2 linked regions of the Lepisosteus oculatus genome follow. The protein of the gene in region 1 purifies or fractionates together with the protein of each later gene. This does not show direct contact. Links are inferred from orthologs where the notes say so. Each region holds a gene or a part of one and is shown in the gene's direction. Other genes may lie near its edges. The genes, in order: casp9 and dcc.

Region 1 (17,417 bases):
TATAATAATTCCTTACACTTATATAGCGCTTTTCTGGACACTCCACTCAAAGCACTTTACAGGTAATGGGGACTCCCCTCCACCACCACCAGTGTGCAGCTCCACCTGGATGATGCAACAGCAACTACTGTATTGGTAAAGGCCAATGGGAATTTTGGCCAGAACGCCATTGTAACACCCCTTCTCTTTTCAAGAAACACCCTGGGACCACAGAGAGTCAAGACCTCGGTTTAACATCTCATCCAAAGGATGGCATCTTTTTACAGTCTAGTGTCCCTGTCACTATACTGGAGCATTAGGACCCACACAGACCGCAGGGTGAGAGCCTCCTACTGGAGGTACACCTCTTCTAGCAGTTTTTCCCATCCAGGTACTGACCAGGCTCACAGCTGCTGAGCTTCAGGGGAGTTTTTATAAGCAATAAAGGACCCTATTTCAGCGACTCACAGATGCAAATTCGTTGTTTAACTCGGGGAGCATGGCGTCGTAGGTGAGGATGGAGGGGTCCTTCTGCAACAGCTCCAGCTGCTCCAGAAGCCGGTATTTGTCTTCCTCGCTGCCATTCCAGCCCCCGGTGATGGGCTTATACAGAACCTTCCCCGCCGCGTTCCTCCTCTCCAGAATCACAATCTGAAAAACAAGGCAGCCCATTCAGAGCTCAGTGCTGCGCGTTAGTGCAGTGTCAGGGCAGGCACTGCGGTTGGGAAAGGCCCTGAGCAGTGACTGAGCTTCCTCTGGGGCCTACCTGGGGAGGGTTTCACATCTGCATTTAATATTCCAATCATTTGTGGCTTTTTTAAAGCTCTCTTCATATACGGATAACCTGCTTCTCTTATTGCGGCGATTGCATATTGGATCTGCGTCTGTGGCTGGAAGGTTGCTGGTTCGTATCCCGCGGCCGGCAGAGGAATCCTACTCCGTTGGGCCCCTGAGCAAGGCCCTTAACCCCAGCTGCTCCAGGGGTGCTGTATAAATGGCTGACCCTGCGCTCTGACCCCAGCAAGCTGGGGTCTGCGAAAAGACAAATTCCTAATACAAGAAATTGTATATGGCCAATAAAGTGTTCTTATCATAATGATCATTATGACCCTCAGGGCCATCAGTAAAAGCAAAGCTCCCTCACTGGTGTGCCTTACTGCACACAGTGGACAGTGGAAGCTTGGTGCACTATGACCGAAGCCACACTGCTATCATTTCAGAACATACTAGACATTTTGGAGATTTAACGGGGTTCACTGCAGTGAACATGTTCCAGAAGTGACATCACTGGCTTCAAACCAAGGCAGTGGAGAATTCTGCTGTGGCAGAGGAGCTGGTCTTTGGCTCTTTAACAGTGGAGTTTGCTGCGGTCTAGGCAGTGGTGCTGCTTCCGCTCGGAGCCTGTGATCAACCATGGCTGAACCCTGACACGTTGCAGAGCTGCACACGTTACAAAGCCATCACACAACACATGCTATCTGGCACTGTGCACTGTGTACACAACAGCCCGCCCATCTCCAGTCAATCCTAATCCTGCGCCGATCACGCACCAATAATGAGACAGCCATCAGAGTGAGATGGTTTATCACACAGCACACTTTTATCACATACACTCATGAGGGCTACCGGTTCGCCAACTTGACTTCTTATCTAGGCGCCGTTCGATTTCATCATGCGTTTCTCAGCCTTCAACAGAGACGAGTAAGGCCGATTCACATAGCATAATAATATTCTAAAACAGAAATTCCCGAGTGGTTCATCCATGAATGGGCTCCACTAAGAGTTGTCGACATGATCTAGGGAGCATTGTTTTGAATCTGCTATACGCTAATAATCAGTAGTGAATAGATTCTCAAACAGCTGACAGCGACTGGGGTTTGGGTAAGTACACTGTCAGTCCCCGTCTTGTCAAGCAACCTGCAGTCTCGCTGTCTTATTAGCAAGAACTGCATCAGGAGCTCAGCTGTGTGTAAAAAGGTGGCCTGACACTGTAAGATCCAGAGCAATGTGTGCAGCCTCCTTCTTCCTTGTGCTGGGATGACAGACAGCAGGTGCCAGGCAGGTCACAGAAAGCACAAACTGTGTAACAACTGAAAATAAGGTCATGTCCAGGCGTACAGACCTGAGGGGGGGCACCGTCCCTGCCCCTCAGCAGCGCGTCACACAGGGGCTGCTGCTGTTTCTGGTAGACGTAGGCAAACCGCAGAACCTCCTTCGCGTTGGCAGAGGCAAAGGAGAGAAATTCATTGTAGCCCCTGGTGAACGAGTCCCCTTCACCAGTGATCAGCAGGATACAGTATCTACAAAATTGTGTCAAGAAACAGCCAATCAATTGAGCCCGGCGTTTAACCTGTTTTTATTAAAACAGCATGCATCGTGACCTAAATAAACAAAAGGCACCGTTTATCTGCCACATCAGTGTGCAAATACATTCAACACTATAATATTATTAAGCTCTGCATAGACAAATTCTATTTTTTTTAGCAAATGTCTCTTCGTAGGATAAGGAATTCTTTCCAAACAAACTTTGGAATTACGCACCAAGCATACCAAATCAGGTATTTGCATCTTTTATAAAAAGTAATACTTTTACTATCTTTAATCATTTAAAAAACCCGATCTGACTGAAAACCAGTGCATAGTAATTGAGTTGCTTGATAAAGTCCTAAACAAGAAGGGGGGCAGTGATTCACAACTTCATTTTAAGCAGAATGTTGGCATCAAAGCACAGAATAACAGCTGACTTATGGTACCAAAATTTACATCTATGAAAATAAAAAGAAACTGTGAAGATGCTCCTAAATTAAAATGCAAAAAGCAGAACACATTTAAAATTAAAGGGTCACAATAATTTTAGACAATTAAAAAGTTTTAAATCTTTCCATCTCTGTTCATCATCATAATCATCATGGAATAAGCTTGTATAAGTTAAAACCTTGAATGGCTGTGAGATAACAGCATCACTTTTGCATAGCAAATAAGAAACTTTATCAACTCTGTTTTGTTTTTTTTTTCATTTACCAGACATTTAACAAACTCTTGGCCTTGTGAATGCTTTAAAGCTAATAAAGGTGATACTTACTTTCTCCGTCTGTGGAACTGCTTCACAGGACAGAGCTCGTCAAACAGCTTCTGGTTCACCAGTCGAGGAACCAGGAGAAATCTGTTGTTCGAGATGAATTCCTCGATGATTTGTTTCTTCATCCCTCTAGCCTGGCAGACAGGAAACACAGATGAGAGAAGACAAGATTAAAATTTGCAAAACTTTTCAGTGTGAAGAATAATTAGGTGGGAAATGAAACACCTGCTGACAGGGGCCTGCTTGGTCTGAGCTGATGGAAAACAGAAAGCAGGAAGTCAATAATACTGGCAAGCACAAACAGCAAGTGGAGAATTAATATATGACACAATATATTTTCAAACTAGGTGATACCCTTAAACATGACATACTTTGCACGGTCCTTATAGACAACAACGTACAAGTAATTTACTGCTTGTGCATCTGCACTAGTCTTGCTGAGATGACTTGATGACAGAATCGGAGATGTTAGAAAACAACACGTCTCTCATCCTGTCCCTCTTCTGCTGTCCTTAACAGCAGAGAGAGATCAGGTCAATACGTTTTTCAAACCCTTGCCGGCTTTTTTCCTAATCCACACTGACAGTTCTGACAGTGAATGTAGCCAGCCATTTCAGCAAATAGTCAAGGATTTCAGAGGATAATGTGACTTTTTTATTAGGTCATTTGTAGACTTTGCCATTAGAAATAACGCATGCAGTAAATATTAACAGTCCTTGCAACTATTAGAGTTATTAAACAAAATCCATCCATCCATTTTCTAATCCAATGCAAGGTCACAGGGGGAACCAGAGCCTAACCAGGCAAGCAGGATGCACCCTGGACAAGACGCCAGTCCATCGCAGGACACACAGACACAAACACACTCACACCAGGGATGATGTTTAAAGAAGCCAGTTATCCCAGAAGCATGTCTTTGGACTGTGGGTGGAAACCAGAAACCCACACAAATACATGAGGGACATACCAACTCCACACAGACAGTAGGAATTAACGCAGTGCTATTAGACTTAATCTTACTCCATGTTTTCTACATGATTTCTTTTCTATATACTGTACTTTGCTGATTAGCCAGGGCTGGTCCTCCCACAAGTTACAAGGCCACCCAGTCTAACAAAAGCAAGCCTCATACAGTGAGCAAAAGACTAGGTACGTTTCCTCCCGAATACAACTGAACCTAGAAAGGGAGGGTGTCCATCCTCCAAAGGGTGCTATTCATCGATAATACCATATTATTGATATGAATAATTATATCAATTACCGTATATGTAATAATAACTTATAACATACAATAAATTAATTACATATGAACAATATGATATCAATATCTTGTTATTCATACCAATAACCTCTGACAGCTGACAGATCCTACAGGACATTATTTGGAGATAAAGGCATTCAAAAATAAAAATAAGTCTTTCTAGCTTTCTCTATGGGTGAAAGTACATTGACTTCACTGGTCAGATTTCCCAACACTCTCATGTATCAGGCGTGAATTAGCACCAGCTAATATCCAGACTCTAGATTGTGGTGGCAATACAAATACAAAACGTACCTGAATGACATCGGCTGGTTTCTCAATGTTCTCCTTGAAGAGGAGCATGGTGGGGGCGTAGCTGTTGATGTTGAACTGTCTGAGCAAGCTCTCAGTCTCAGACAGGCCTTGGTCCACATATCCAAAGCGGACAAAGTCCTTGTAGGCAAACGCCGTGAGCTGTGGGTGAAAAGCAGGTGTCAGAAAGGAAACCAATCACTTTGCCATCCAGGCAAAGTCTTGAATTGCAGCAACCTGAAAACAAACAGTGCCTCACTCATGTTTTATTTTAAGAAGGCCATGTCATCAGTAGTTAGCACTAGGAACACACAAATCAATACTCAACAGCCCGGGGAAGGATTTTGAAGTTGCACATAAAACAACACAAGGATGACTTTATATAAAGGCCTATCATTTTTTGTTTTGCTAAGAAACAGTCAGACTTTACACAACATACAGTGAGAGGGTGGTCTCCCAGCGTTTTAACAGGGCTGATCAACCCCACTCTGCTGTCTCTGGTTTGTCTAGATGGCTTGATCTCGTATAGACAATTTAAAGAGAAACCACAGACCAGCTGCTTGAACGCATCCTCCAGGTACTGAAATGCAGAGTGTGTTTGCCACACCAACACACTTCCTCACTGAACATCAGGTTGTTGCAATTCAGTCTGGAAATTTGGACAGTCCCACTTATACTATTTCATCTCATGATGTTTAGAGCTATGATTACTACATAAAACACATTATTTACCTTGTACAATAAAGGCACCACAGGTACTTGATCAAACAACAGCACATGGGGCTTGTTCTCTTCATACCAGCCATTCAGGAACTGGAGGTAATTTTTACCTGTTACCTACAAGCAGAGAGTCAAAAACATCAGCACAGAAGATGAAGATCTAGACATCATAGAAGGAGGCATACTACACATATATAAAACACAATTCTTAGAAAGAGGCTTTAAACAGGGAAACGTCATTTTCCGAGATGACACTACTGGTTGGAGCTTAGTGTTCTTCTTCAGTCAGCTGTAACCATAACTTCTACTTTTTGTTCCAAGATGTGCAACCAATCGGTCTAGAATCTGTATGCTCTTGCTGCACGTACCTTCTCTACCAGTCTCTGCGGCAACAAGTTCTCCACAAACTGCCTCAGATGCTCCCTGACCACGGCATAGTGGAAGAAGGTGACTTTCCCGTTGATGAGCCCCAAGATGGATGGGGTACGGTGTGCCCCCAAGTGGTTGGCCAGACGCTGCTCATAACCGACATCTACTACGCCAATCCCCACACCTGCAGTAAGGAAGCAATGACCCCATGTGACCCACCAGCATGGTTAGCAGGTTCCTTTTCATCAGGCGACTATTTTAGACGTCAATGACTTTGGTTGGCCTCCCCCCCGATTTGGAGAGAGTCTTTATTATCCCCGGGGGGGGGCAAATTGTTTTACAGCAGCAGTGTTGACGTACAGATGGAGAGAAGGAAAAAACAAAACGACAGGAACAACAATATCCATACATATTTACCTAGAAGGTCAAGTGTTAAGTAACGATATGGCTACAGGTATGAACAAGAACTTGAATCTGTTGGTTTTGGAGTTGGGGAGTCGGTATCTGCGTTCTGATGGGAGTAACAGGAAGTTATTAAACAAGGGGTGTGAAGGATCGTCACAGATTTTGCTTTACGCAAACCACGTGAATGATAGATGGAGGAGAGAGCTGGAAGATCAGCACCAATGACCTTCTGGCATATTTTCACCAGGCTGCCCAGTTTGTTCCTGCTTCTCAATTTCAGGTCGCCAAACCAGCAGATGAAATCAACAATGAATCATCGACCTTAAAGTACTTAAGCTTCCGCAGGAAAAAAAGACGTTGTTGACCTTTACTGAGGATCAGGTCAGTATTGGCTTCGAAATTAAGCTTGGAGTCCAGGACAGTCCACAAATACTTGTATTGTTCTACCAGCTCCCCTGAATCTCCCCCGATGTAGGTCAGGGTGGGAGTGGGGGTACTTTTCCTGAAGTCAGTTATCATGTCTTTGGTCTTGGACACATTTAGCTTGAGGACGTTCTGTTCACACCAGGTGGCAAACTCATCAACGATGGGTTCGCGACTCCACTCGCTTGCCTGCAGCAGGCGATCACTGACAGAGTCGTCTGCCAATCTGATTCCGTGTCTCGAGTGGTGAGAGCTCTTGTGATGGTTTGCGAGAAGAACCAAGAGTAAAGGAGACAATACACATCCTTGGGGGGGGGACCCAGGAGAGGAATGCTTTTTGTGGGTTCAAACTTACCCAGCGCCTCCAGCTCCTGCACGGTCTCCTTCCAGACCGGCTCGATGTGGATGCAGGTGAAGCACCAGTCCGAGGTGATCTTGATGAGGTACGGCCGCTTGAAGCTGTCCGGCACGATGTCGTTTATGTACTGCGTGTAGTGCAGCGCGTACTTGCTGTCGGCAAAGTCCCTGCTGCCTTTGTTGAAAGGGAACTGGAAGAAGGACTCGTCGAAGTAGAAGCTGTCGTGGAAGTGGCGGAACTGCTGTCGCTGCTGGGCGTAGGGCTGGTTCTCGTCCGTTTGCCCAAAGCGGTCGTAGTTCGCCCTTTTCTCTTCGTTGGAGAGAATCTGGGAAGAGATCGAAAGGCATGGGCGCCACTTGGCACAGGTGTTCAACGATGCCTTTTAAACATCGTCTATCTGTTCTATTTCTTTGGGGATCTGTCAGAAAAGGGTGAATGCGAGGAAACGCGCCGACTTTCAGTAGTGGGGCTACCTTCGTTCGAACAATGTGTTGAAAACTGAGCTAAAGGCTAACATGACATGACGAAGCATTCCTGCTCTAAAATACAAGACATTTTCCTTGACCTGGTCCTTTGAATTGCTTCGGTAAACTGTATGCTGACATGTTCTTACTCCGGTTTAATTAAAAGGTGCATCGCGTCTAATAATGTTCACCACATTACACATGGGGTTACAGGCATTGCCTTTGCCCCAGTACTCTTTCACTGGACACTGAAAAGACGTCTTGGTGTTCACCTGGATGGGAATATCTATAGTGCATTTTAGATCATTTGTGCATAAGATCAAGGCTCATTAATATGGTTGACTTTGTATGCAATTCCTATTACATGAACCATATCACTGTGGTTAAAAGCCATCAACGTGGCTGTTAACAAGCAGCACGTGTTCTTGTCCGCTTGTTCAAGGGCCACTAATCAGGGATGTCTTCCCTCAGCTCATTGGAGATTCCAGGCTATCAATGTACTACTTCCCATCACTATAATCGACTTTCCACATTATTTTAAATGTATTGAGAACAATCACTAAGTGCTTCCTTGGTCACCATTTATTTTAAACCAATTCCATTCACATTATTCCCATAATATTTCAAAATAAAACTTACAATAAAGACTACCTTTAGCAAACCCAAGAACATCTGACGTGAACCCGATTCTTCTGCTAGAGTTGCACCAAGACAGCTATGCCACCGCACTGAATGAACCAGGTTCATAATATCTGGGATTCCAGGGCTACAACTACATAGAAAAACAGTACCACTGGCTTAAAGTGTATTTAAAGTGTATTGACTACATTTAATCAATATCCAAATTCACCCAATTATCCAAAAACTCAAATGCCACTACACTACCTGTAGCTATAAGGAAGATGCAATCTTATATCCGGTAGTTTAGATTTAGTTTTGTCAGACAGCTTATTTTAACTTCCACTCAAAAGTCATCAAGAGAGAAAATGTTAAAGGGGATTACCTCATAGGACTTTGTGATCTTGATAAACTTATCCTCTGCCTCTGGGTTTTTATTCTTATCTGGATGCCTTGAAGGAAAATAAAAAAAAATAAGTTGTACTGAGGTTTATTGTGGACGTACTTGTAATGACACATTAAAGACTTCCTTTAACCAAAAGTATTAGGAATGTGAGAAAAGCCATACTCAAGCCACAATTTCCCACTGAGGAGTCTTTGAAAGACAGAACTGTCACAGTGCAATTTAATCACTGTGACCGCAGCAGCAGAATATATTTCAGACTTACTCTTGGATACTCTCCTTGAAATTATCTTATTAAATTGGTGTCACACAAAATACCCATTTTTTTATATCTGGCTAAAGTCTGCCACTCTCTCGACACTGCAACATGTGCACTTATGAAGATTTTATATGTGGTATTTTTTAATATTTAGGTAGCCAATCAGGTACATTTCAGGTTTCAGACACAGCGATAACTGCTAGATACTTGTAATCTGTAACTGACATTACATCTGTAAGTAGTGACAGCAGCTCTACAATAAAACCTCCAGCCACACAAACGTTAGATCCTACAGGAATATGCTTTAGCAGACTGCAGACGTCTGTCATCCAGGCAGTGGATAGAAAGTCCAGGCTTTAGAGAGATAGGATGGACAGCTGTGAGTCACAGTGGCCCCGGGCTCTCATCTGTTTGTTCATAATACTTTTAAGAAGCCCAATCACCTGTCTTTCAAGATCTAAATCGGCTGCTGCAAATTCTCCAAGAATCTGACTCCTGCCAACTGGAGTGCCCCATGTCAAAGTTTACTGGGCAGTTCAGCGTCAGCAGAAGGAAAGGACCGATCTGTTCTGTTCAGAGCCCAACAACTGCAAGAGGCTCTGTGGCTTTCTGTGGCTCTCCACAGGGACATGAAAGGAATCAAAGCTGAACAACCTGCCAAAACTGACACAACAAGGGTGTATTTCTATTTGATGGAAGGGACCTCAGGCAAAAAAAACCTCTCTCTCATTAAATAGGGAGTCTGTATTTTACCATTGGTACTATACATTGGTCGAAGATATGAGCGAATTTAAATAAGCAGGAATTCTGATTCTATCTGCTTCTCACCATTCTTTGGCCAGGCGTTTATACACCTTCTTGATTTCAGCCTGACTGGTGCTCCTGGAGACCCCCAGAACCTTATAAGGATCAAATTCAGCAGCACTCTCCACAGAAGGACTGAACAGCAGCAGGCAGAGAGACAGAATAAACAGCAGGGTCAGGAAAACCCCCTTTAACCAGGTCATCTTCTTGTGGCTGAAAACACAAGGGAAAGAGAGAGAGTCTGATTTGATGCATCCCTCTATCCTCTGTCAACAGCCACCTCTTCCTGAGAACACCAGATCCAGTCACAGACGCCCAGGGTGAAAGACAGACCCACGCCTTGGATGAGACAGCAGTCCAGCATGGGACAGAGAGACACAAGCACACAGGGACATTTTGAGATGCCAATTTACCTAGCCACTGCATCTCTGGGATGACTGGATTATCCGAAGCACAAGGAGAAAAACTCTCCAACCATGTCATGGAATGGGAATATTCAACCCATTCCTTATGGCAAAACTGGATCAGTTCTGACACGTTCAGCAGTGATCACTGATCAACTTCAACTGTTATGGTTTGCTTTAATGCTTAATTCCTGCTTTTCTGGGAAGTTTTGGGGAACTCGTTTTTGAGTGTTCAACTCAACTCTTATGTTTAAGGTTGGGTGGCTTTTTGGTGGAAAAAAGCAAAGTCCCCTGCAATATGAACTGCTATGAAACCTAGCGTTTTTAATATTAGACTTCAAAGACGGTAGTCCCCCATGTGTTGATTGGTTAGCTTGATTCGAATTTAAAATCCCGTTCATTTTAATATGTGATGAGAGGATATTTATAAACAAGAAAAATGTACATACAAATAAAAAGGTTGTCTAATTTGACCTGACGATTTTACCATACATTCCGTACGACTAGAAATTATAAAACGTAATAGTTTAATGCCTCACCATATTTATAATAATAACAGCCCAAAACGCACGACCTTACAGGACAGAAAACTCTGCTGAACTGAACACAAGATCTCCCGTGGTTTAAAAGACTCCAAACCATTTACAAAGTGTAATCAAATACATTTCAATACCTTGAAATACACTTCTTTCTAGGGACAGTAGGCAATGTAACACTGAACTACCGATACAGTTTCACAATGTCAGGACATTAACATAGTTTTCAACTTAGACAAAACTAAAACGTGATTCCGCACAACACAAAAAATAAAAGCACACGATTTAAAAAGACGTTTAAAGTAAACGACGGTACCACTGGCGAAAGTAAGCATTTGGGAATTGCGGTTTTCTGTTTTCGTAGCCCTCGATTACAACACCGGACGAGTGACTGCTTGGGATATTCACATTACGACCTTCAGACGACAAAATAAAAACAGCATTTTTATGGTATGACCGACAGCTCTATAACGCACTAAACCGAAGAAATGCATTTAACCCAAAATAGAAAATAAAACTACTTATTCCCCGGAGCAGTTGTCAAACCTTGCAAACGCACCACAAGCAAATCGCTGGCTCAGTCGGTCCTGATCACCATGCCGTTACGCACCCTCGTCCCTTCTTCTGTTTTCTATCAAAATTCGCTCACGGGTCACTGCAAAAAATCAAAACACCGGCAATTTACTACAAGCATCCGAATTGCACGACTACGTTTTTTTAATCAAAACGCTTCCGGTCAACCGGCGTGATGACGTCATTACGCACTGGGCGTGGTTCAGCCATGCAAACACGGAAGAAAATAAAGGATGCTTTTGGAAGACGGCAAGAATTATTACGGAAGAACTTAGGAAAATGTAAAGAACGTTTTAATATGCTTAAGTGGGGTTAAAGGTGCTTGGCTACTGTAGCTTCGGTGAAACGCCCCTTAGTCTGTTACTTTTCTTTTCGTATACGATTGCATGATGGAATTTCCTAACTTGAACAACTAAATTCCTGATTTCGGCATTTCGCTTTCGTTTCGGTTAGGATGTAGTTAGTGTTCGACGTCCAGTTTAGGCTGAACTGAGCTCACGTTAACAGGTTAAGAGTCTTAATCCGCCCCCTCGGGCTCTTGTTTGCAGAATGGATGGCAGGCACAAGAAGATATTACAGAGTAATCGATCCATGCTTGTACAGCAGTTGGATCCCTCAAAACTGTATGATGGACTTCTGTCAAAGGGCGTCTTCACTCAAGACATGATTGATGAAATACAGGTAGGCCTTTAACACACTCAACTGGCCCATTCACAACCACATTTTGAGGTGCCTCGGTTATAAAATAATTCCAACACTGCTGGGAACGTATCCTTGAGATATTGGCAATAACCAATACATTGGATTAAATAATCAGTGTCATCTCCTTATTTTACAGTTTTCACAGTGTTTTCTTCATATGCACCTTAATTTATGTACTCTCTGGAGGAATGTGTTCTATTGTTACAGAGGGTCATACAGTAACTAACAGGAATCTGCAACCTCTGTCATAGAGCAGCCACTGTCCTGCTGGTTTCCATAGTAGCTTTAAATAAAAGTAAGTAATTAATTGATTGAGGACAATCAGAGTATAGCAAAGGGTCTAAAAGCATGTCATTACTGGCTATACAGTATATAAATGTTTTTGTAATAATATTCCAGAGATCTGCACAAATAGTCTTGAAGAGCCACAATCTCTCTTTGTTTGAAAATTATATTGAAAGGTGCTGACCCATATAAAGGTCATTATTATTAGAAATAGGAGATGCAAGATCTCCAAGACAAGATGTGTAGATCCCTGGAATGTAATCTCAAATATATATAGTCAGTAGTGGAATAACAGTTGAGACATGTTGCCTAACAAAAAAAAACAATAGCCTGAAAGGCAGTTCTCTAATCCTTTTTGGTAGGTTCCTCAATAAACAGGCAGAACAAACTAATAAGTATAGACCCATGTCACCTCGATTGAACCTGATCAGTGCACTATAGCTGTGTAAGTGCCCAGTTCCTTGCTTTAGTCATTGCTACTGACAGGGATACCCAAAAGACTGTGACTCTTAAGACCAGCTAAAGGTTGCGCTTCTTTTGGAAGAAGAACACACCCTTTCACAGTCCTAGGTCTTATTAGGACAACATGGGTGGAGTGGTGGCTCTGTGGCTCAGGATCTGTGCCTGTGGCTGGAGGGTTGCTGGTTCAAATCCCGCTGCAGGCAGAGGAATCCTACTCTGTTGGGCCCCTGAGCAAGGCCCTTAACCTCACCTGCTCAAGGGGCGCTGTACAATGGCTGACCCTGCGCTCTGACCCCAAGCTTCTCTCCCTGTCTGTGTGTCTGTGAAAAGACACATTCCTAATTCAAGAAATTGTAAAGGCTTAATAAAGTGATGTTATTATTATTATTATTATTATTATTATTATTATTATTATTATTATGATAGCACCAAGTTGGAAATGTTTCAGCTTTTTAAAATTCCAGGCATGTGTAATTTAATACAATAGTTGGTCCACATTCTGTCTGATAAATGTCCTCCACAGAACAAGCAGGAAACTTTCAGCACTAGGTTTTGGTTTTTACATGAAAGACTGATCAAATCTGAAACAGCTCAAACTGCAACTGAATGGGAGTCTCCTCCATGTCACTGTGATCAGAAGTGTGACGCAGGCCTGCAGCCCGGGGGCCTGTAGTGAAGGAGCTGCTGTTCTCTCTCGTGTCCCCCGCAGAGTGCCGGCACGCGTCGAGACCAGGCCCGGCAGCTGGTGAGAGATCTGGAGACCCGAGGCAGCCGGGCCTTCCCAGCCTTCCTGGAGTGCCTTCAGGAGTCCGGGCAGGGTCACCTGGCGGACGCCTTGCAGAAGGGGGTCAAGATTCAGCCACCTCCACCTGTCCCGGTCCAGCCTGTTCCCATCCCTGTCCTAAAGTGTACGTGCCAAGTCCAGTATTTCTATGATTTGTCGCTCGTTCTGTTTAGTTCTTCTTTGTTTTAATATTGCCAGCAGCCATATCACCCTGCGACTCACAGCTGACAGCCCACTGAAGCTCAGCAGGTGTGAGCCTGGTCAGTACCTGGATGGGAGACCTCCTGGAAAAGACTTAAGGTTTCTGCTGGAAGAGATGTCAGTGGGGACAACAGCAGCTTGTGTGGGTCCTAATGCCCCTGTCACTATACTGTAAACAGGCGCCGTCCTTCGGATGAGATGTAAAACTGAGGTCCTGACTCTCTGTGGTCATTAAAAATCCCAGGGCGTTTCTTGAAAAGAGTATGGGTGTAACCCCGGCATCCTGGCCAGATTTCCCCCTGGCCCTTACCAATCATGGCCTCCTAATAATCCCCCTCTATGAATTGTCTACATTACTCTGCTCTCCTCCCCCACTGATAGCTGATGTGTGGTGAGCGTTCTGGCGCACTATGGCTGCCGTCGCATCATCCAGGTGGGGCTGCACACTGGTGGTGGTGGAGGGGATCCCCCTTACCTCTAAAGCACTTTGAGTGGAGTGTCCAGAAAAGTGCTATATAAGTGTAAGGTATTATTATTATTATTATTATATTAAGAAAAAGTGCCACGTACTGTAACGTGTCTGGTGTTTTATTCAACAGATCCCGATGGAAACAAAGAGATACCCGATAGAGGAGACATACCCTATCATCAAGACAGGCCTACACACAGCCCAGATAACGAAAACTATATGACAACCAGCTATCGTAAGAAATGTTCTACGGTGTTATGATATACTGATGGAAAGGTGCTCTCTTTCTACTAGGAAAAGTTATAAAGTTTATAAGGTTATAAAGCTGCTTCAACTATAGAACTGCAGATCCCTTTTTTTAATTTAATTGTAGCAAGTGTTAAATTGCTCTAAAAATACAAAGTTTTTTTTCCGTTAACTAAATCAGCAACTAATTTATTTTTTACTCAAAGCACATTTTGGAGTAGAGCCAGGTTTACTGTTATTTACTTCAATTAACCTTTTAAAGGTTCATCAAAGATTACCATGTACTGAGCATGCAAGATGTGCTACATTGGAAGAGGTGTTAGTGGGGCCAGCAGGGGGCGCTCACCCTGCGGTCCATGTGGGTCCTAATGCCCCAGTATAGTGACGGAGACACTATACTGTAAACAGGCGCCGTCCTTCGGATGAGACGTAAAAACGAGGTCCTGACTCCCTGTGGTCATTAAAAATCCCAGGGCGTTTCTCGAAAAGAGTAGGGGTGTAACCCTGGTGTCCTGGCCAAATTTCCCATTGGCCCTTACCAATCATGGCCTCCTAATAATCCCCATCTATGAATTGGCTACATTACTCTGCTCTCCTCCCCACTGAGAGCTGGTGTGTGGGGAGCGTTCTGGCGCACTATGGCTGCCGTCGCATCATCCAGGTGGGGCTGCACACTGGTGGTGGTGGAGGGGATCCCCATTACCTGTAACTAGCTTTGAGTGGAATGTCCAGAAAAGCGCTATATAAGTGTAAGCTATTATTATTATTATTATTATTATTATTATTATTATTATTATTACATTCTATCTAGCTGAGGAGCTGTCTAACCCTGGTCCTGGTGGGCCAGTGTATCCTAACGAGCTCATGACTGTCTTAATTGGACCAATTTAATAGATTTATCAGCCATCTCTTTGGGTGCTGCAGTTTTAATGACACTTAGAAGACCTAGGGTATAGACACACCAGTCCGCCAGGGCCAGGATTAGACACCTCTCATCTGAAGAGACAAAACAGCTTTCAGTGATCAAGTTTTTCAAGGGAGATATTGTCGCATACACAATCCTCTGACAGCTGAAATATTCTGTTTTTTCCAGGACATTTCACTTCTTTCAGTGAATATCTGGAGAAAGTAAGGCTTCTGCTGTGATGTTTTTTTGCAGATGAAGCTTTTTACACCACACAACTGTTAAGCTCCAATATCCACCTCTTTGGGGGGAATTAATTGATTTTCTGTTAGGGTCTTCAGTGACATTACAGGTGGTACCGAAGACCCTAGCTCCATCACTGTGTTTGTATACATTGTATATAGTACCGACCTGTCTTTGGACCTACCTAGATGCTGTAAATGTCATGGTAACATACATTGTAGTACTTAGAATCACTTGAAGAAACTATGCACACACTTGTTGTGTGATTGGAAGTGCTGTAAATAACTCTTCAGCACTGCACTAAGATGCAAAGACATAAATAGTATCCTAAGAGTAGCATTATGTGTTAGTTGTGTTGTAACAGACAGATAAGTTCTGGACCCCGAGATGAAGTTGAACAACTGAGTTAATTGCATGCAAGGAACAATAAGATCAAAGAATTGTTCGAAGATATAGGTACAAAGCTCCATTTTATGTAGCAAACTTCAGCTGTTTCTGACGCAAATTGTTACCATGGTAATGGGGGGAGGTCACCTGTGTTAGGACTTTCCCAAGACCTTAAACACTTTGAATGGCCAGTCTTATCTTCCCAGAGTTAGGGAGTCTCTACCTCGCACTTGGAATCTCTTATCAGTTCACTCCCATCCCTGCCATAACTCAGAAGTGCTTAAGCATGGAATGTCTTGTACCAAAAGAAGTCTTTGTGCAGAAAGAAATCAGTTAACCCTTTTTTCACATCTTATATCTTCCATCACAGTTGTTTCTGGGCATTTTCTGGGTTGATAAAAAGATCTGCTGCACAGATGATATTTTAAAAATATGACAAGAAATGGGGGCAACAGCACACAGAGAGCTCAGCCTTGTGGAAGATGCTGTTCCCACCTCTATAGTTACAGTTTCTGCCATCAGGATTTATCCCACTGGAGGTCTACCAGCACGGATAAACTGGGTCGAGACCTCAGCAATCAAACACACAGCCCTGCTTGCCTGGTCCTTCTATGAAATCACAGTCTATAAGTATGTCTGGGACATCTGTGCAGTGCTAGCTTTGTACTGTAAGTTGACTTTCCTGGAAACCTCAGGACACTGAACCTTCTTGTGCTCCTGTATTCACACCCCTAATTTAAAAAAACTGTGGTATCTAAACCACCACCCAAAACACCTTTAAATAGGGTGATAATAATATCAAGCTGAGGGTCTTTGTTGTTTCAGAATGTAATTAATAAAGGCTTATCTCTTGCCTTAGCATCTCAAAAGGATGAACTTGATCCCAAACCACAAGGGAGACCAAGAAGCAACAGCCTCCAGGTAATTAGACCAAACCACTGAAATACTAATTATTTACACCGGGGTTATGGTTGTTTGCTTGTCTGTTCGTTGTGATATATTGCGATACTGTGATAAAATACCCTATTTATAGTTTAGATCAATTGTTTTGTGTTACTTATTCATATTTTAAACCGTTCAGCTTCCCAAAACATTTGACCAATTGACAATCATCACAAAGCGCAGAAAGCCTCTAAATGAGAAAGGTGTCAAAGTCATTTCAATGAAACACCTTTAAAAGCTGAGTGAGTTGTCAGAGTATTTTGTGTGCGAGAAAAGATGTTGAGAAGTATCCAGCCAATTTCTGGGACATTTCCACCTATTTTTTTCTGTTGATCTGACAGTACACCTGCACTTTTGGAAGACAATTTTGAGAGAATGCTGTATATAAAAAAAAAATTCAGACCTGTTTCCAAATCTGTTTCAATTTGGTAAGGCAAGACAGTTTCACTGAAATTCTTCAGTATCCTGTGCTCCAGTATTCATTTATAAGGACGTTACTGCGCCATCTTGTATTGGTACTATAGTTCATGCTCATTCTATGCAAAAGGTGTACTGGTACAGAATACAGCATAGAGGTATGACACCGGCTGTTCTCAATCTACAGACTTTAAAGGCAGTCTTTGTCAGCTGCTTTAATAGCCTTGGTAATCTAAAATTACTGAAAGGCATCAGAGTTTATTCATCCACGGTGAGATATGGACACTCAATAAAAAAAATCAGGAAACAAAAAGAGATCAGAAGGCAAACAAACCAAAGCTGCCTTCAGCCAACTGAGGCAACTGATGAAGTAAGGCTTAAGATTTCTTGAGACTTTCAGATGAAGGTCCTTGTACCTATGTGAAACTC
Region 2 (16,543 bases), on another chromosome or scaffold:
AAACATGAATATTGTTTCGTTGCTTAAAAAGATGTAACAATGGCAACAGGATCAGTAGATTAGCTTCCTTGTGGAACATACTGTATATTAGAAGCTATTCATAAGTTGTGCTTGCTAATGATATAGAAATTGGAAAATATCCAGCCCTCATTGTAACAAATAATATTTCTTTTGATTTGTCTGAATTTGGTCATTAATGGAGTCAAAATCGTCTGTGCAAAAGCAGAATAATCATGCATTGCCTTTCCTCATTATTGGAAGGCTTTATATCTCAAATATAATCTATGCCTGTTTCTAAGTCTCTTTATGGACAACATTAACTTTTCAGATAACAACAAAAAGGAGAATTACGCTTCAGCGCTACTTATAAAAGCATTCTAATAGCATCTTAAGCAAAAAGGGGTCATTTAGGTGCTAGAGGAAAAAATATTTTCATGCTAGAACTTTTGTGTTGCTTGTCACTTAAATCATTTACAGTAAGTAATTTAAACTAGAAAACAGATAAGTGACATGTTTTTCTGAAGTTATTTTTCTTCAATATTTTCAATGATCCATTGTACAGTATGTATTGCTATAAGACAAATACTATCAAGGTCTTAAAAAAGGAACAATCTGACCACAGGCTATGAATTTCCTAGGTAAATATTGGTCAAAAGTTATGTTTAATGGAAATTTTGATATTTAAAATGTTGAAGGTGTTCACTAAACAGACTAGACGATTTTTGTCTTATATTCAGTACATATTCTGTAACATTCCTATCAGAAAGTAGTCACCAGGAAAGGCATGACTGATGCACTGGATTCTCACATTTTGATTCTGCTAACATTGGTCATTTCTGATGCACTCAATAATCAGGAAAAATAAAATCTTGACAAGATTCATTCTTCAGTAGTTCTGGTTCATAATCTAGTGAACTTCAGTCTTCTTGTACCTATAAAAAGTTTTTACTGTAAAAAGAAAATAGACTAAATAGAGCATTTGCTTTATCATGCTTGTTTTGTTGCTTGATGTGTAGTTCAGGGCCCTATGCAGATGGTATAATCTGTAAGTAAGTGGAGAAGGACATTAGGGATGGAAACGAAGAGGATCAGGATGGGTTAACAGACAGGGGTGCATGACGGTGGTGATCCAGTACTCGGGGGGCATGGCGATGGTAAACAAGTTCAAACAGTCCAAGGGAAGATCCGGGGGTGCAGTCCAAAGTCCAGATTTAAATAAGGAGACAGAACAGGAGGCAGGTGCATGTAGTCAACTAAAATACGAAAGAGCCAGAGCGTCCTTAAGAGGAGGGATTCTGATCGTGACATGATGTTTACTGAAACAAGAATCATCTAATACAAGCGTACTACTCTTAAGGAGAGATATAGACATTTATAATGCATACAACAAATGTCTGAAGGATATGTAGAAGCAGAAGGGAGTTAGGAATAATAATGTTCATTCTATAATGTAGGACAAAGAATGTGGAGACTAGATTTTTCCATTTGGTTCAAATAACAATGGAGAAGTAATGCAACTAGGGTCAGAAACAAAAGCATTCATTTGGGAAAAACTTGTCTTCCAGTGGAAAAGATAGTATGTGGTAGTTCATTTTCTTCAGCTGTTGAATATTGCAGGAGCTCAGATAAACAAAGCTGCAATCATATTTTTTCAACGTTTTCAATTTTTCTAGTTCTTGGAAAACAGTTCAGTCTGTTTGTGTATTCTGAAACCATATCTCTTGACCTGTGATATGAAAATGAACTCGTCTGTTTTCTCAGATAGAATGAGGGGTTAGCTGGATTCACAAACTAATCTCATTATCAACAATGCATAACTTTTGCCAACTTTTAAAGCAGCGTGAACTTGCTTGCGCTGTATGTATCACGGTTTGCTTTCCTTCAGTCTTCACTGAATGAACTGAAATTGCGTATCTTTATGAAAATGCAGGGTTATCTTCTTTAAAGTTTCAGTGATTCAAGTAGAGAATATTCATCATCCTTTGAGTTATTTGAACACTACTTACTAGGTTTGGGCATGTGAGAGTCTTGACTTTGCAGACTACAATAATTTCAATAATCATTATAAGCAGAAAGAATGTTTTATGGGCTTTAAGTGTTAGTTTTGATGTACAGTAGTACTTGTGTTTTATGATATACTGAATTTTAGTATACTGTATTGAAGTTTAAAGCTCACCTGGAAGTAATTTATACCAAGTGGATTTTATAATATTTTATTTTCTGATTGTGTTTCGTAGTTACATCTTTGCTGGTACACTAGTGTGTGAAATTACTTTTCCCCACTCTGACTCTTCAGTGTCACATATGAGACACAGCAGCTCCTCTCTGAAACCTGTTAGTTCACCTGGAATCTTCACTGAAGCTCAGTATGGTGAATATGAAATTCAGAAAAGGTTTTCAAACAAGAAGAAGCCTTTCAAGCTCATTTTTCTCATTTGGTTTCTGGTATCTGAATAATATAAGTCACAGTAGGTCCTACAAAAACACTCCTTCTGTTTTCTGTCATAAAAATGTTCATAAGTATCATTTCTATTTGGGTTCATGAATGCCCATATCAGCAGTATAGATTTTGAATATGTCATAGTTCTTTAACCCTTGGTTGTAGATTATCTTGGATTCACACAACTTTTATTTTGAGAATTAACCTGTGTTATTTTTTTTCTATCTTAAGATGTTATCAAAGTAAGATTGTTTGTCTGAAATTTCTTTGCTGAATTTTGTGCTGTTTTGTTTTTAAAGAACACATTAGAGATTTTCCAATTAGCAGGCTGTAGGCACAACCCCTGCACTGAGAATAAATGAAATCTTGTAGTTAGTTGCCTATGAATAACTTAGGTACAAGTGAGAAAATACCATCTGGCCTAGATGATTTGTTTTAACTTCTTATAGATCAAACACTTCATCCTCTGTTATTCTGAGATTTTAAACTAAATTGTATTTTTTCTACAGTATTGTTGAGTAATAGTTCAAAATAATTATTCAGAGTTATTTACCACTCCTTATTGTCTAAAACGATTTATTTTGTACACATTTTGTTCTGATTGTTCCATTTATCTATTTAGTCCAACAGTTTTGTGCCTTCAAATATGTTTTTAAAATGTATGCATCTTTCGTCTACTTATTCTAAATAAGACTATATTATGCATAAACGACTGAAAATCCATGTATAAGCCCCTTATAACCCCCAATATACAAAGGGAACATGGATACAGAGATAATAACCTTGTAGTCAGTGATGTACTAACAATCAATTATATGGCAATTTAGTTAACTAATTTATGACCATATACAGTATGTATGGATATTGTATTGTTTGCTTAAGCTTTAACAGCAGTGTGTGTTACAGTATGTAATTCTTAAGTGTGATTTGTAATGTACCTCCAATAATAATGTTTCCCGAACTAATTCAACCCCGATCTCCTTCTCTTAAACACTGTCTCATTCCCTTAAAATAAACTTTTCTGAAATTGAGATTTTATAATGTCCCTCCAAAAATTAACTCATATACACTGTGGTCAAATTTACCCAAGTCCCCCTTTCCCACCTATCGTGTTTATGTTTGTATGAAAGATCAGTTCAATGTAATTATGTTCTCTTGCTTCTGACCTGGAGCATTGACTCAGAAAGGAGTCATTCATTGTTTTGCCCAGATCTGTTTGTGCTTATATTGTATGATTGTATATTATATTACAGTAGACTGTAGTTAGTAGTTTGACTCCAGACATAGTGTGTATACCCAGAACCCCAAATTTAACGACAGGACTATTACATCATTACCTATGGCTATGGATGAACTGTGGTTACATGCTTTGTATTTTCATTTATTTTTTATTATTACTGTATTTAATATGGTGTTTTTCTAATAAAGAATTGGAGTTCAATCCACAGAGAATTAACACTTGCCTAAAGAAGCAACAGTTGAATTTCTCCCTGGACAGGAACCTACTGTATAACTCTCCAGTTTATACACTACCATCATCACCCACTCTTCAGTGCTGCTGACAATTCCTGTGGCTGATTCATGAGTTGACTTTTAAGACATACGGTAATTATAATCAACTTATATAACACAGTGTCATGATAAAGTGAAAAGGGGGATTTGTTATGACAATTTGGACAACTGTGGTACTGATTTGCAAAATAAAAGTTTGACTTCTTTTTCAGAAAAACAGGTGTGACACTGGAAAGAAGGCTTAACTACGAACACATTTCTTCTTTTTCTCGTGCAAAAATTAACCTTTTCTTGTTCCTTTGAAGCCAATGCCCACTGACACAGCTCTCACAGCTCAAAAAATGAGCAAACAAAAAACATGTCAAACTAAATCTTAATAAGAGTCCACCGATCCTGGCATTTTGTTTAGATTGAATCATATATCTGCTTGAGTGTTGTAGCGGCAATGCTTGTTAATAAGACAGAATTAAGTGTTGCTGTGCTTTCCCAAATGAGGCCTCATCTCTCTGTTCATCTCTGTGGTGCAGCCACAAAGAAACTATTCATGCAGGCTGATTTAAAGATGTTTTCTTTTGATAAGGGATAGCTCCCAAATAGGAATGCACTTAGCTAAGCCTGGCTATCATGATCAATGGTCATCCATTGGCGCCTATTTGTCTAGGGAGTGCCAGATGGACATCTGGACTGCATTCCTAAGTTTCAGGAGTAAGTGACTCATATCTCACCTTGATCAACCAGTCTGGGACTGGTAGGGCTGAGTAACCCACGTGAGACTCTGATGCCCATGAAACTTTCAGCCAATGAACGAGCTGAAGTTCCTCCAGGTAAAAACAGGCAACACAGAGGGCCTGAGAGACTATTCTGTGGACTTTTCTAAAGGGAATTCAAAGGAGAATTCCAGGGCAGGACGGCCCAGGAGCAGAAGGCTCCCAAGGGCAGGACATTCTCGCAGCGTGCCTCCTGACCATCCTGAGACTCAGCCCGGACAACCACGGAACGGCCAGTGTGTCCGAGTGCCAGGCCTTTCCTTTGTTCTAAGAGTCTAGAGCGGAGGTTGCCAGAGAGTAACCAGAGGATCCACCCGAGGTTAGCACCAGCAGCAGGCCTCGTGAACAGGTCAGAACTGTGGACAGCTGAATCACTATTCAGAACTAGCTCTTCATCAGGAACGAACCGGTCCTCTTCCTGACTTGCTGGGACCCACAGTAATCTTTTCTCCTGTGCGCAAACTTTGCTAGTTAAAGCCAACACTAACTAGCCGGTCAGTGGGCATCAGCAGCGCACTGTCACAAGCCACACAGCACAGCCTGGCACCGAGCCAGAGAGCGCGGATTGGACAGCATCAGTCTGAAACTGTTTCTTTGTGCCCGCAGGAGATCTGAATCCCCAGAGATTGGATGAGTATTCAACTTCAATGCATTACAGCTTGAGAATTAAATTGTTATCCCAACCAGTTGATATCAATTTAATTCCTAAGAGTTATGTACTTGTTTTGAGTATCTAATGTAGAAGTTATAACCAAGTTCATTTACCAAACGGTCTAAATGAATGATGTACTGAACGTATGTCCTCTTGATATATGTAACACTTCGTAACTGACTGAATATATACCTTTTGTATTCTGATAACCCTCTCGATAAGATCTGTTAAGTTTACATGCATATTATATGTATTAATTAATGTATCCTCGTGTATTAGTACCTGTGTGTGTGCGTTGTTTGAGTTATATCGCATGGTTGGATTCTAAGGCCATCAAAAGAATCATTTTGTGATTTACTGCTACAATTAATAATTGTCCCAGTAAATGCAGAAACCCTACAGAAGTGGTGTCTTCAGAGAGCACACTACAGTGTTTTGGCAAGTTTAAGTTAAAACATCCAGTATAGTCTTAGTAAGAAAGGACAGAAATATTCAAAGACTTTATATTAAGCCAAACTCAGCAAGCCATAATAAATTAAGCATGGTTACTTACACTGATTTATTTGCCTTAACATGTCTGTTTGTTTTTCTTTTTTATTTACCATACTTGTATAATGAATATACAATAATTGTTCTGGCAAGCAGTTACTTGCAATTTACTATAACTAGCATTTCATGATATTCATGTAAGTGTACAATTGTTTTTTTGTCACAGAAATAAACAAATTGTACTTAAAGACCAGGTCTTCTGCACTCAGTCGATTTTCTTGCTGCTTTATCTAATACAGGGATGCGGGAGAACTAGAGCCTATTAATGCAAGCAAATGCTGCAAGGTGGGTTACACCCTGGACAGGACGCCAGTCCATTGCAGGTCACACACATACAAAAACTAGCCAGACTAGGACGAATTTTCCCAGAAGCCAAGTAACCTGCCAATATGTTTTTGGACTATGAGAGGAGACCAGAGCGCCAGGAAGGCACCCACACAAAACAGGGAGAACATACAAACTCTACGCAGACAACACCCAAGTTCCAGAATTGAACCCAGGACCCCAGCACACAATGCGCCATAGATAGGGAATTCGACACTGTCTAGGTTTTCATGGAAGATGACGTCACTTCTCGAACGTGCTCAGTCCACTGAACCAAATTGCTACATACTGTATAAATATATATTTTTTTCTGTGCGTGTTCACCAAACACGACGTTTTTTTAAAACAATTGGCATCCAGTCAAAGTTTTAGCTGTTCACATGTATTTAATTGTAATATTTTATTTTCTTGATTTAAATCTACTGTATAATGGGTAGTTTTTGTAACAGGTACGTATGTACCGTTCATTAATTGTAATTCCTAAAGCTGTTTCTCACACCTCTGGTAATTCAAGTTTCAAATTTATCATGTAGACATTATCATAGAAAAATGTTTGCAACAGGTTTCATCGATAAGAACGATAACTTAACGATTTTTTGAAAGACGAAGATGTAGTGGTCTGTTGCTTATTTTGTCCTACTTTGGCAAAATAAAGCACTGCAATCAAATCTTAAGAATTTAACCCAGAAAGACTTTATAACCAGCCACTAGTAGTAAAAGTTTAAACTTATGACAGTTCAAAACGTAAATGACACAGTACACAAATTAATAAAAACACGCATTCATACTAATGCAAAATATATACATTTCAGATCAAATAAGATCTCCTTAAATTGCATAAAATGATCCCTGAAAATTACTATTGATAATATTATCGATAGGGCAGTAACAACAACAGTAGTAGTTTTAGAAAGACAGGTTCGCTTTTTAAAACAAAAATAACAGACCATCTTACGGCTTTGAACAATGTTGGAGTTTTAGTCTAACAGTTTGTCACATTGCCTCTTTAACGCATTAAAAAATAGTACAAATACGGATTATGCTGTGCTTATTTTCCAGCGCTCGAATCCCCGAGAACAAGTTTAATTTAGGATATATTTATATATTTGTAGCAACAGCGGTAGTATATTTAATCTCGTGATTTTTTACAGTATACTCTAGTATTTTACTATTGGCTAATCCTTAAAGCAATTTATTATAATTCCGAATATTACACTGAACAATACACATTCACCAAAAAGAATGCTAATAAAGTGATTATTACTATATTTGAGGTCAAAACACCAGCGTCAATACAGCCACTACTGTACTGTACATGCCGGGGCAGTGCACTTAACAGAATCCGATAACTAAAGCTTGCAGAAAGGTGGAAGATGCATGCAGCCTGGTTGTTTCGTTGATTGAATATGGCTCACATTAACAATTCACATTCTGACCAGAGATGGCAAGCGAGCTCAGTGATTCCCCGCAAAGCCTGCTGAAAGATCGTCTGTCCCCCCCCCAATACATGTGTTTCGTTGCATTTCGGTTCGTTCCAGCTGGAGTTTTCACCGTTCTTTACCTCCAGCCCCTTTAGATCAATGGATTCACATCTCGCAACTCCCTGCTCAAAGAGTGCTAGTGGACAGCTCCCGTAACAAGTGAACCTCGCCGGTCCTTTCCTGGGTCTGTCTGGCGTATTTTATTACTCAGCTCGTGGAACACCGCAAGGATGGAGCAGCCACGCATCTGATTCAAACTTGGCTGTGCTCAGAGGAAGTGCACAGAGAGAGAAACGTACTTCTGTAGACTTGTTCAAATCCATTGGCTTTTGGTGTCGGTTTTCCTTTCTTTCTGATGCTCATGAATTGAATTCGAGAAATCTGCGTTTGGAAGAAGGATCTGTGTGATTGTGGGACAGAACCGCTCAACGGTAAAGCGAAAATATGGAGAATACTATTGGATTTATTGGGCTGAAAAAGCTTCTTTTTGTGCTGCTGTGGTTATCTTTTCTCAGATGCGACACTAAGTCTTACGGTAAGTCGATAGTTTGATTTTGCATTCAAAATCATAGGGATGGCACAAAATATTTTGTTTAATGTTTAAGTAACTTCACCTTAAAACCACAAGACAGGGTAAGTAATTACAGGGCAGTGCAGCTAAACTATACCATGGTTGGCGTTTTATTTGGAATGGTAAAAATTGTGAGAATGGTTGAACATTGTAGGGTAGACCCCGATAAAAAATGAAAGCGATATTCCTTAAAAATAAATTCAGTTTGAAGTAATGTTTCTCATTACCTTCCGTGATTTTGTTTTCATCGCCGCTTTTCATTTTGTATCTTCTTGTCTGACTACTGTGGACCGTTTCTAAATCACGAAAAGAAGAGTATTGGACTAATGAGATTCAGAGATAAGTAGTTTGGTCATGTTTTTTTAACCTGTTTTACAAAGATGTTTCATCTGCACAAACTTGAACTACTTATTCACTGGGTGGAACATAAGTTGTTTTGTTTATTCCGCAATCCAAATGTATTTGTGTCAAATTATAAAAATTAATGACTATTTCCATTGGTTTTCCAATGATCAATCATCAATTTTTATGTAGCAATCTATTACTATACTGGAAAAGTTACATTGAACAAAGAATACATTTCAGTATGCTAAATTTTAATAAGAATCATATGCACTTTTGTGCAATGTATATCATAAACTTAATTTAGGATTGCATTCTAACTATAACAGAGCATTTAATGTATCGGTGATTAACAAAAGCCTTTCAGAATCCGTCGAAAAATGTGCATACCTGTAAATACGTCTCACATACTGGTGTGTCTGTGATACACGGAACCTTTTAGGTATCAGTTAATCTATACGTTTCTAGGTTCGTTTATTTTTATGGTACCTACAGTAATAAGGTTGCTGTTAGGCATAGTTATCTGCTAAATTTTGTTTGGATGCATTAGAAGTGCAGTATCGCCACTTGCCTGTATCGAATAAAAGCTTTTAAGAAGGCGAGAATGAATATGAATGAAGATATGCTAAGAAATTCCTCCTGTAGAATTCATGTACACCACTACACACTAAATATTTGACTTTTATCTCTCAGAGGTAATACTTAAGGTGCGCGGAGCGGGTCATAGCGCTTTAGTTAATGATATGAATTGATTTAAAGAGATTGGAACGAATTACAGTACTACTTAGAACCTTCACTAAGCATGTAGTCTTGGGTGTCGTTATAATCATCGTTATTATTGTTTCACATCCTAGGTCATATTACTATTAATAATAATGATGATTTAGCTGATACTTGGTATCAACATGCAATAAACTGTAAGTGTTCTGTTTGTAATGCAAGCACTTTTAGATGGCTTTAGATTTGCGTTGAAGGACGCGGAGTTCGTGCTAAAAGATAAAGTGCACATAATGTTTACATTTTTGACCGAATTGAGTTCCACAAATAAATCACCTAACAGTTTGATTAATACTCTCTTCTTAGGAGGAACGTGCAGTTTGTGAACCTCAATATAGCTGATTGTAAACTGCACCAATAAAACATCCGCTCGCAACCTGTCACGGTGAATGTGGTATATTAGTATTCTCCTCTAGTGCTAGAGCGCCGAAAATTATTCGATGCGGGGGACATTTACTATAACATGCGAATTATTAGCAAGACGTGGTAGCAAGTTTCAAGCTGAAAAGCCTGCCATGGGAATCTAAAAAATCAGTGAAACATTGTAATCGTCCCATGCAAACGTGTGTGAGCGGCGAATAAAAAGGATATCTAAGAAGACAAGTACGGTTTCTACTGTACATACTGTATGATCATATTAACTATTACAATGTTGTCGATATGTGGTAACCATGCAGTATTACAATAATTCAAACTTCCAATGCAAAAATGCATTTTTATTCTCAGTGCTTCATACCGTACAGTATGTGTAGATCACTTTTTGAGCAGACTTATATTCATAGCTTTTCTCTTCAACCTCTTAAAACAAAGATTGAAGAACCATTAAGGAAACGTATTGTCCAAATGCACCAGGTTGTGAAACCAGCGCCATACGTCTCTGTAAATCCTCAGCTCACACAACCGCGGTGAACACGGAAGGTTACGGAGAGTATTGAGTGGGGCAGTCCTACACAGTCGGAGTGGTGCAGTATAAATCAATTCCTTTTCGCTGTCTCCATTTTCAAACCTACATTGCTTGCCCTGCGTAAGTGAAGCCCATGGGGCTCATACAGTACGTAATGCATGGAGCGTGTCTGTAAATAATTGTATAGTTTTATCATTTTTAAAGATAAAAACTTTATTTTGTGAATGTATACGGGTTCGGTGAACCTTTATTATTTAATGGTATTTTGTCCAGACGAATTCAAGCACATTCTGCTGCTCCCCATTAGCGCACTATGGTATTCGCATTTATTTCCACAAAGGTACATTTTGAGTTGATGGTCTATTCTTTAACTTTTTACTCTGTTCTCTCTTACCCTTTTTTTTCTGTCTCACTCATTTTTTTGCGTTCTTTAATATAATAAAATACAATTACAAAAAGCATAGCACCTTATTTCTTTTTAGATTGCGTTTGAATGAGCAAAATCAGAGCATTCACTTCGAACTCAATAATTCAATATCGATTTCACGGGGCAAATGAGCAGTGGCTTTACGAATGCAGGTTTTACTGTTCGGCGTTCTCAAGTGAATTGTTCATCACCAAAGTACTTGAAATAAACGTTTTCCAATGAAAGTATTACTTTTCTTATACAGCTGAAGAGAAGGTGATGTTTAATCACGGCACTGATGCAAAGCTTTGCTGATTTTTTGTTACGCTAGAAACATTGCTATAAACTGTAAACAAACATCTATAAAAAATGCCGTTTGCTCTATTGCTTATGTAATGGCAGCAAGAAAACAGCATAATCTGCAATGCCAAGAACTTTTTAGAATTTGTCTCTCTGTGAGAAACTTAACTGGAGCACAGTATGCTTTGTTAACCTCAATCTTGACAATATTTATGCAAAAAACAACAAATTTAAATGTAGGAGGAACCCAGAGCACCTGGCAAAAGCCCAGAAGAACAGTGAGTAAAGTCCATACAGTGAGGCCCAATCTTGAACTGAACCCTAGGACCCTAATCATTTTTTGCACCAGTGATTGATTACCTGCTGCCAGATTACATAGTTGATTAACATTAGATACCTGTATATGCACTTTCCTGCACTATCCCCCTTAAAGATACATTTCAAAGTAAATAAAATAAAAGTCCTGGTCTTGGTTGATAATATGTTGTTTTTTTAAAAGAACACCATGACTACAACAAGCATCTTAGATAGGAGACTCCCATTAAAAGTTGGGAGAGTCACAATGGGATTCACTGGTGCATCTCCAGAGGCTGTATTTCCGTTACGAGATGCATGTCAGTGTGGTTCCCCCAGGAAGGTCATGAGTTTACAGCAGCGTGGTCTGATGAGACCGGGGTTGATACCTGACCAATGATGCTCATCACTGACTCAACAACTGCATTTTAATGAGATGTCTGCCTGTATAAATTACAATGAGAAACCACTCAGCAGGGTGTATTGGTGTGGCACAGGACAAATGTAATGAACACACCAAATAAACAAAAACATTGTTCTCTACTTTAAGTACTGAAAGTAAATGCTGTCTAATTAATCCAGTTTCTGTAAACTATGTTATAATTTTAGAACATTACAAAGGGTAACAAAAAAAGAAGGCATTTGGTTTTCACTGTAGTCCCATAGCTAATATTTGTTAATTGGAAACCACCCCTGAGTGTGGAATCTCTGTAAATCCCCTCCTGGAAAGCTAATCAAACTTAATTTGCATGGATTTGGGAGTTGGGAGGAAACCAGAGCACCTGACAAACCCTAGAAAACTCAAATAAGACACATGGGAGAAAAATGCAAGTTCTGCACAGATACAGTAGGTACTGAAATGATCTTAGGACTCTGGAGCTGTGAAGCAACAATGCTAGCCTCCATGTCACCATGCTGTCCATATTGCTCGTATTTCATTAAAATACACGTCAGGAGAATAGACAGTGTGGTTGATTACTAAGGCAAGCTTTTAAGTAGCAAATATGGTGGTCTTAACTCATTATAAAAACTAAATGCTCAGTGTTCAGAAGAAGAAGGCTTGAGGGTATACAGATCTGCTGCCACTGACAGATACTACATTCTAAAGAAGTGTGTGGGTAAATGGGGAGTATCTCAGAGTAGCTACTGCTGCTCTATAGGTGGACAAAGAGATACACTAGTAGTGCTACACTTACATCTGAAAACACCGAAGTAAATCATACTCTTTAACTGAGATAGTTAATTAACCTTTTCCTTAAATCTTCAGAAAAGAAAAGATTTGCAAAACTCCAGCATTATTTTTCCTATGCTCCACTCCCAAAAATATAAAGGAAATTGTGTTTCTTAAACCGGGGCGCAGTAACCACATGCTTGTTTATACGGGGTACTCTGCTGTAGGTGAAATGAAAATAGTTTGCCATTCAACTAATTTAGCTCTGTTCATAATTATTGAAAATTCACACCAACTGAAGAAAATCAAGGCTTTAATTAAACCATTCCTTCCTTACTTCATTCTATGTGGTGTCTTACAATGTCTTCCCTCTTAAGTAGATATTAAACTGATGTACTTCTTCTATTTTATGTGTGGCTGTTTGAGGTTTTTTTCATATTGGTGAAATAATGGTTTGCTTTTAACAGAGGTCTTACCTTTACTAAGTACAGTTTAAAGAGGGATATGGAACAGATCTTAGATTTTTTTCAACATTTTTTTGTATAAGTCAATAGTATATTCAGAAATGAGAACATCAGTAAAATATATAGTCAGTTAATAATACATTAACTGACTTTTGATTAGTTTAATATATAATAAATAAATATGTCTTTCAATGTCAGGACATGCTACTTGATATTTTGTACACTTTCACTGGTGTGCAATCTTAAGAGAAAAACAACAGCAACAGCATATGATTTAAAAGCAGACATTTATTTCAAATGCTGTTGTTTATGTGTACTCTCAGTTTGAAGTCTTGAAGTAAGGTAACCTAAGACACCCATCTCAAGTGATGAATGCAGACATACTGTAACTGCAAAAGTGGTGAAGCCACTTAATATTTATGATCCTGAATCCAGAAAAAAAATGTCAGGCACCATATGCGCAATTGCCTTTTAGATATGATTCCTTTTATACACATCATTGTAGACGAATCTTCTGTGCATGTGGAGAATTGCTGACTCTAAAATATTGGCTTTGAAATTGATATTGATAATGCAGTATATTCTATTTTAGTGTCTTTGTCTATTTGTATGGAGAATAGGAACTTCATATGCCTCAATTCATGTTGCTCTGGTGGTGTCCCATTTTATCCTGTTTTATCATTGTAGGATTATCCCATCATTTGGAACTATAAAGCACATGTTACTATCTGCATAAACCTATCCAAAAACATATAATATCCAAATGAAATATCTCTATTGCTTGATCTTAAGTACATTATCTTACCCTATGCCCACTAGAGCCAGTGTGGAGAACAAGGTTGCTTCCATGCTGAAAAGTAGAAAGAAAGTATTTTAAACAATGCTTTAGCAGTGGAGCTCACATTTCAAGAAAGCCACACAACTGAAACATTGTTTTTTCTTCTTTATACTTTTCACTGTTAATTCTGCCTCTACATATTCCTTAATAAAGTGTGCCTACACACTGGCACAGCTCCGAACTCGAGAACTCTGCCTATGGACACGTAAGGTACTTAAGATGTAAGGAGTCAATTGAGTAGAAAACAAAACACAATGTAATAATATCACTTTCCAGTTTTTATAGGGGAGATACAAATGTTATCACTTGAGTGTACTTTTAAGAATCTGATTAAATCTGATTTAATGCATCCTGCTTACTGTGGGGTCTTGTGAATTTACAGTTTAGCACTGGGAGTTAGCTTGTTTTATGCCATCCTCTATTAGAAAACTATCACAATATAAACCCTCATATACAGTATACCTGCAGGTTCAACAGTGCCAAAGTAACAAGGAGCTTTTTGATGCTAGTCGTTTGCCATTTCTGTAACATTATCCTATTCTTTTTAATTGGTCTAACTGACTGCTCTGCTGAAAAGGCTTTGGGGGAACAAAACTGAAATTCAGTTACATGAGAGATGCATTGAATCAAATTCTTGTGTCATTCTGCTGAACAATAGCATTCTGTTATGTGCATCTGTGGAAGACTATGGGGTGTTTTAAAAGCTTAACACACACAAAAGCAAAGCAGAGAGATACAGTGGCTTTGTGATTTATTTCAAATGATCTGCCCGCAAGCTATAGGGTATCTCAGTCATTTTTACAAAATGTGGCATTTAATTAAAAGACTTTTATTTTCATGTGGAAATATGAACAGTTGTTCTAATTCTACAAATCAGATGTATTCATATGAGATTTAATTCAAGTATACTGATAAAACACCCTGTGTCTCAACAGCAGCTCAGTGGTTGGGAACTAAAATCACACGTAGATTATATAATAATAGTAATTGATTACACTTATATAACACTTTTCTGGACACTCCACTCAAAGCACTTTACAGGTAATGGGAACTCCCCTCCACCATCACCAATGTGCAGCATCCACCTGGATGATGGGATGGCAGCCATAGTGCGCCAGAACGCTCACCGCACACCAGTGGGGAGGAGAGCAGAGTAATGAAGCCAATTCATAGATGGGGCTAATTAGGAGGCCATGATTAGTAAGGGCCAATGAGAAATTTGGCCAGGATACCAGGGTTATACCCCTACTCTTTTTCGAGAAATGCCCTGGGATTTTTAATGACCACAGAGAGTCAGGACCTCGGTTTTACATCTCATCCAAAGGACGGCGCCTGTTTACAGTATAGTGTCCCCGTCACTATACTGGGGCATTAGGACCCACATGGACCACAGGGTGAGCACCTCCTGCTGGCCCCACTAACACCTCTTCCAGAAGCAACCTTAGTTTTTCCCAGGAGGTCTCCCATCCAGGTACTGACCAGGCTCACACCAGTTTAGCTTCAGTGGGTTTTAACCCTGTTTGTCTAGGATGGATCACCCGGCTTTGGACTTTTGCCTCCTTTTGGATTCTCACTTGGATTTATTCCTGGATTGTTTGCCTCGGCAGTGCACCATAGACACGACCCCTGTTTTCATTCCCGAGTCCCGCATGCTTTTTCCCCACTCTACCCCGGATCGTGTATTCTGCATAGGGTCCTGAAAGAACGCTTTTGTTACACAAAGCACAGTTCATAGTATATGAATTCAGTATTGTAGGTGAATCTTTCCTATTGCTCTATGCAGCTATTCCGTTAGCCTGTTTGACATTATTTTATAGTTAGACCATAATGGCTCTGTCATAATGATTTGATTAAGGGTACTCAAAGAAGTGTTTTTTCCTTTCATATCCTTGTTTTAAAGCACATTAATAATCAAGAAGGTGTAGTTAAATGTTAATCTCCACAATAATTCCACACCATACTACAGGAATAAGGGCTATTCCCTTGATCTTCTCCAGTGGGATTTCTGTCGATTAAAATAGGGTTCAACACAGCATGGAGACTGCAATTTAAGTAGAGATCAGTTTCTTTCTTGTATACAAATGCAATGAAAGCAATAGAATGAAAGCTGAACCTCGACACAGGTTTGCACAACGTGTGTTTGATTCAAGCCACTTAATTAGGGGATCTTTGAAACCATGTGGAAAGTTTTGCTTAAGTTTAAATTGTTAGCTGCAAATTCAGCTTTTTTGTTTTGTTTTTTGGGCTACATGGAAGGAAGCCTTTTAATGCAGAAAAAATGGATTGAATTGAAATTATTTTTATATTTATTTTCTCTTTGCATATTGCATTAAATCGGGTGCACTGTGCCTACTAATTTATGGGGCTAACAGAAACAAACAGAAGGATTTTAAAGTAAGGCAGTAATGGGACATTGAGCAAGCACGCGTATCCTTCCCTTGAGTCTCTTCTTAGCAAGCTGTAATAAATTGTTTAGATCGGCAGCTGTGGCCCTTCACACTCAGGGGAATTAGGAGCCAGATCTGGCTCTTTGATACTCTGTGCTGCAGATTGTTCAACAGAAAGCCTTATTGCTTAAAAAGTTAATTTTACACAGGACTACTAAACATGAGCATCCCTCACATATCAGCCTGGATCAGCTCACTGGTGTGCAGTTGCATTTTTATTTGTTGTTTTCGCTTCTGACTCATCTGCTGCTCTTTAAAACTCTAGCTTTAATGTACACTATGGCAGTCATTTATTTCAGCATGG

Evidence for each region.
Region 2: the proteins of casp9 (region 1) and dcc purify together in Homo sapiens (co-immunoprecipitation; 3 studies listed by BioGRID and IntAct, with this or other methods). This does not show direct contact. The link is inferred for Lepisosteus oculatus from reciprocal best matches to the Homo sapiens genes CASP9 and DCC.

The regions. Positions count from the first base shown.
Region 1 is NC_090720.1:10,956,213-10,973,629, forward strand, and holds the start of casp9 (caspase-9), read left to right. Parts: upstream 1-11,147; 5' UTR 11,148-11,227; exon of another isoform or gene 11,228-11,494; 5' UTR 11,495-11,495; coding exon 11,496-11,627; intron 11,628-13,104; coding exon 13,105-13,303; intron 13,304-13,979; coding exon 13,980-14,084; intron 14,085-16,488; coding exon 16,489-16,550; intron 16,551-17,417. Other genes in the region: dnajc16 (dnaJ homolog subfamily C member 16), read right to left, coding at 448-630, 2,102-2,279, 3,062-3,192, 4,614-4,772, 5,343-5,447, 5,699-5,883, 6,883-7,210, 8,353-8,419 and 1 more. UniProt on the Homo sapiens protein: Involved in the activation cascade of caspases responsible for apoptosis execution. Binding of caspase-9 to Apaf-1 leads to activation of the protease which then cleaves and activates effector caspases caspase-3 (CASP3) or caspase-7 (CASP7).
Region 2 is NC_090698.1:64,870,151-64,886,693, forward strand, and holds the start of dcc (netrin receptor DCC), read left to right. Parts: upstream 1-7,801; 5' UTR 7,802-8,169; coding exon 8,170-8,260; intron 8,261-16,543. UniProt on the Homo sapiens protein: Receptor for netrin required for axon guidance. Mediates axon attraction of neuronal growth cones in the developing nervous system upon ligand binding. Its association with UNC5 proteins may trigger signaling for axon repulsion.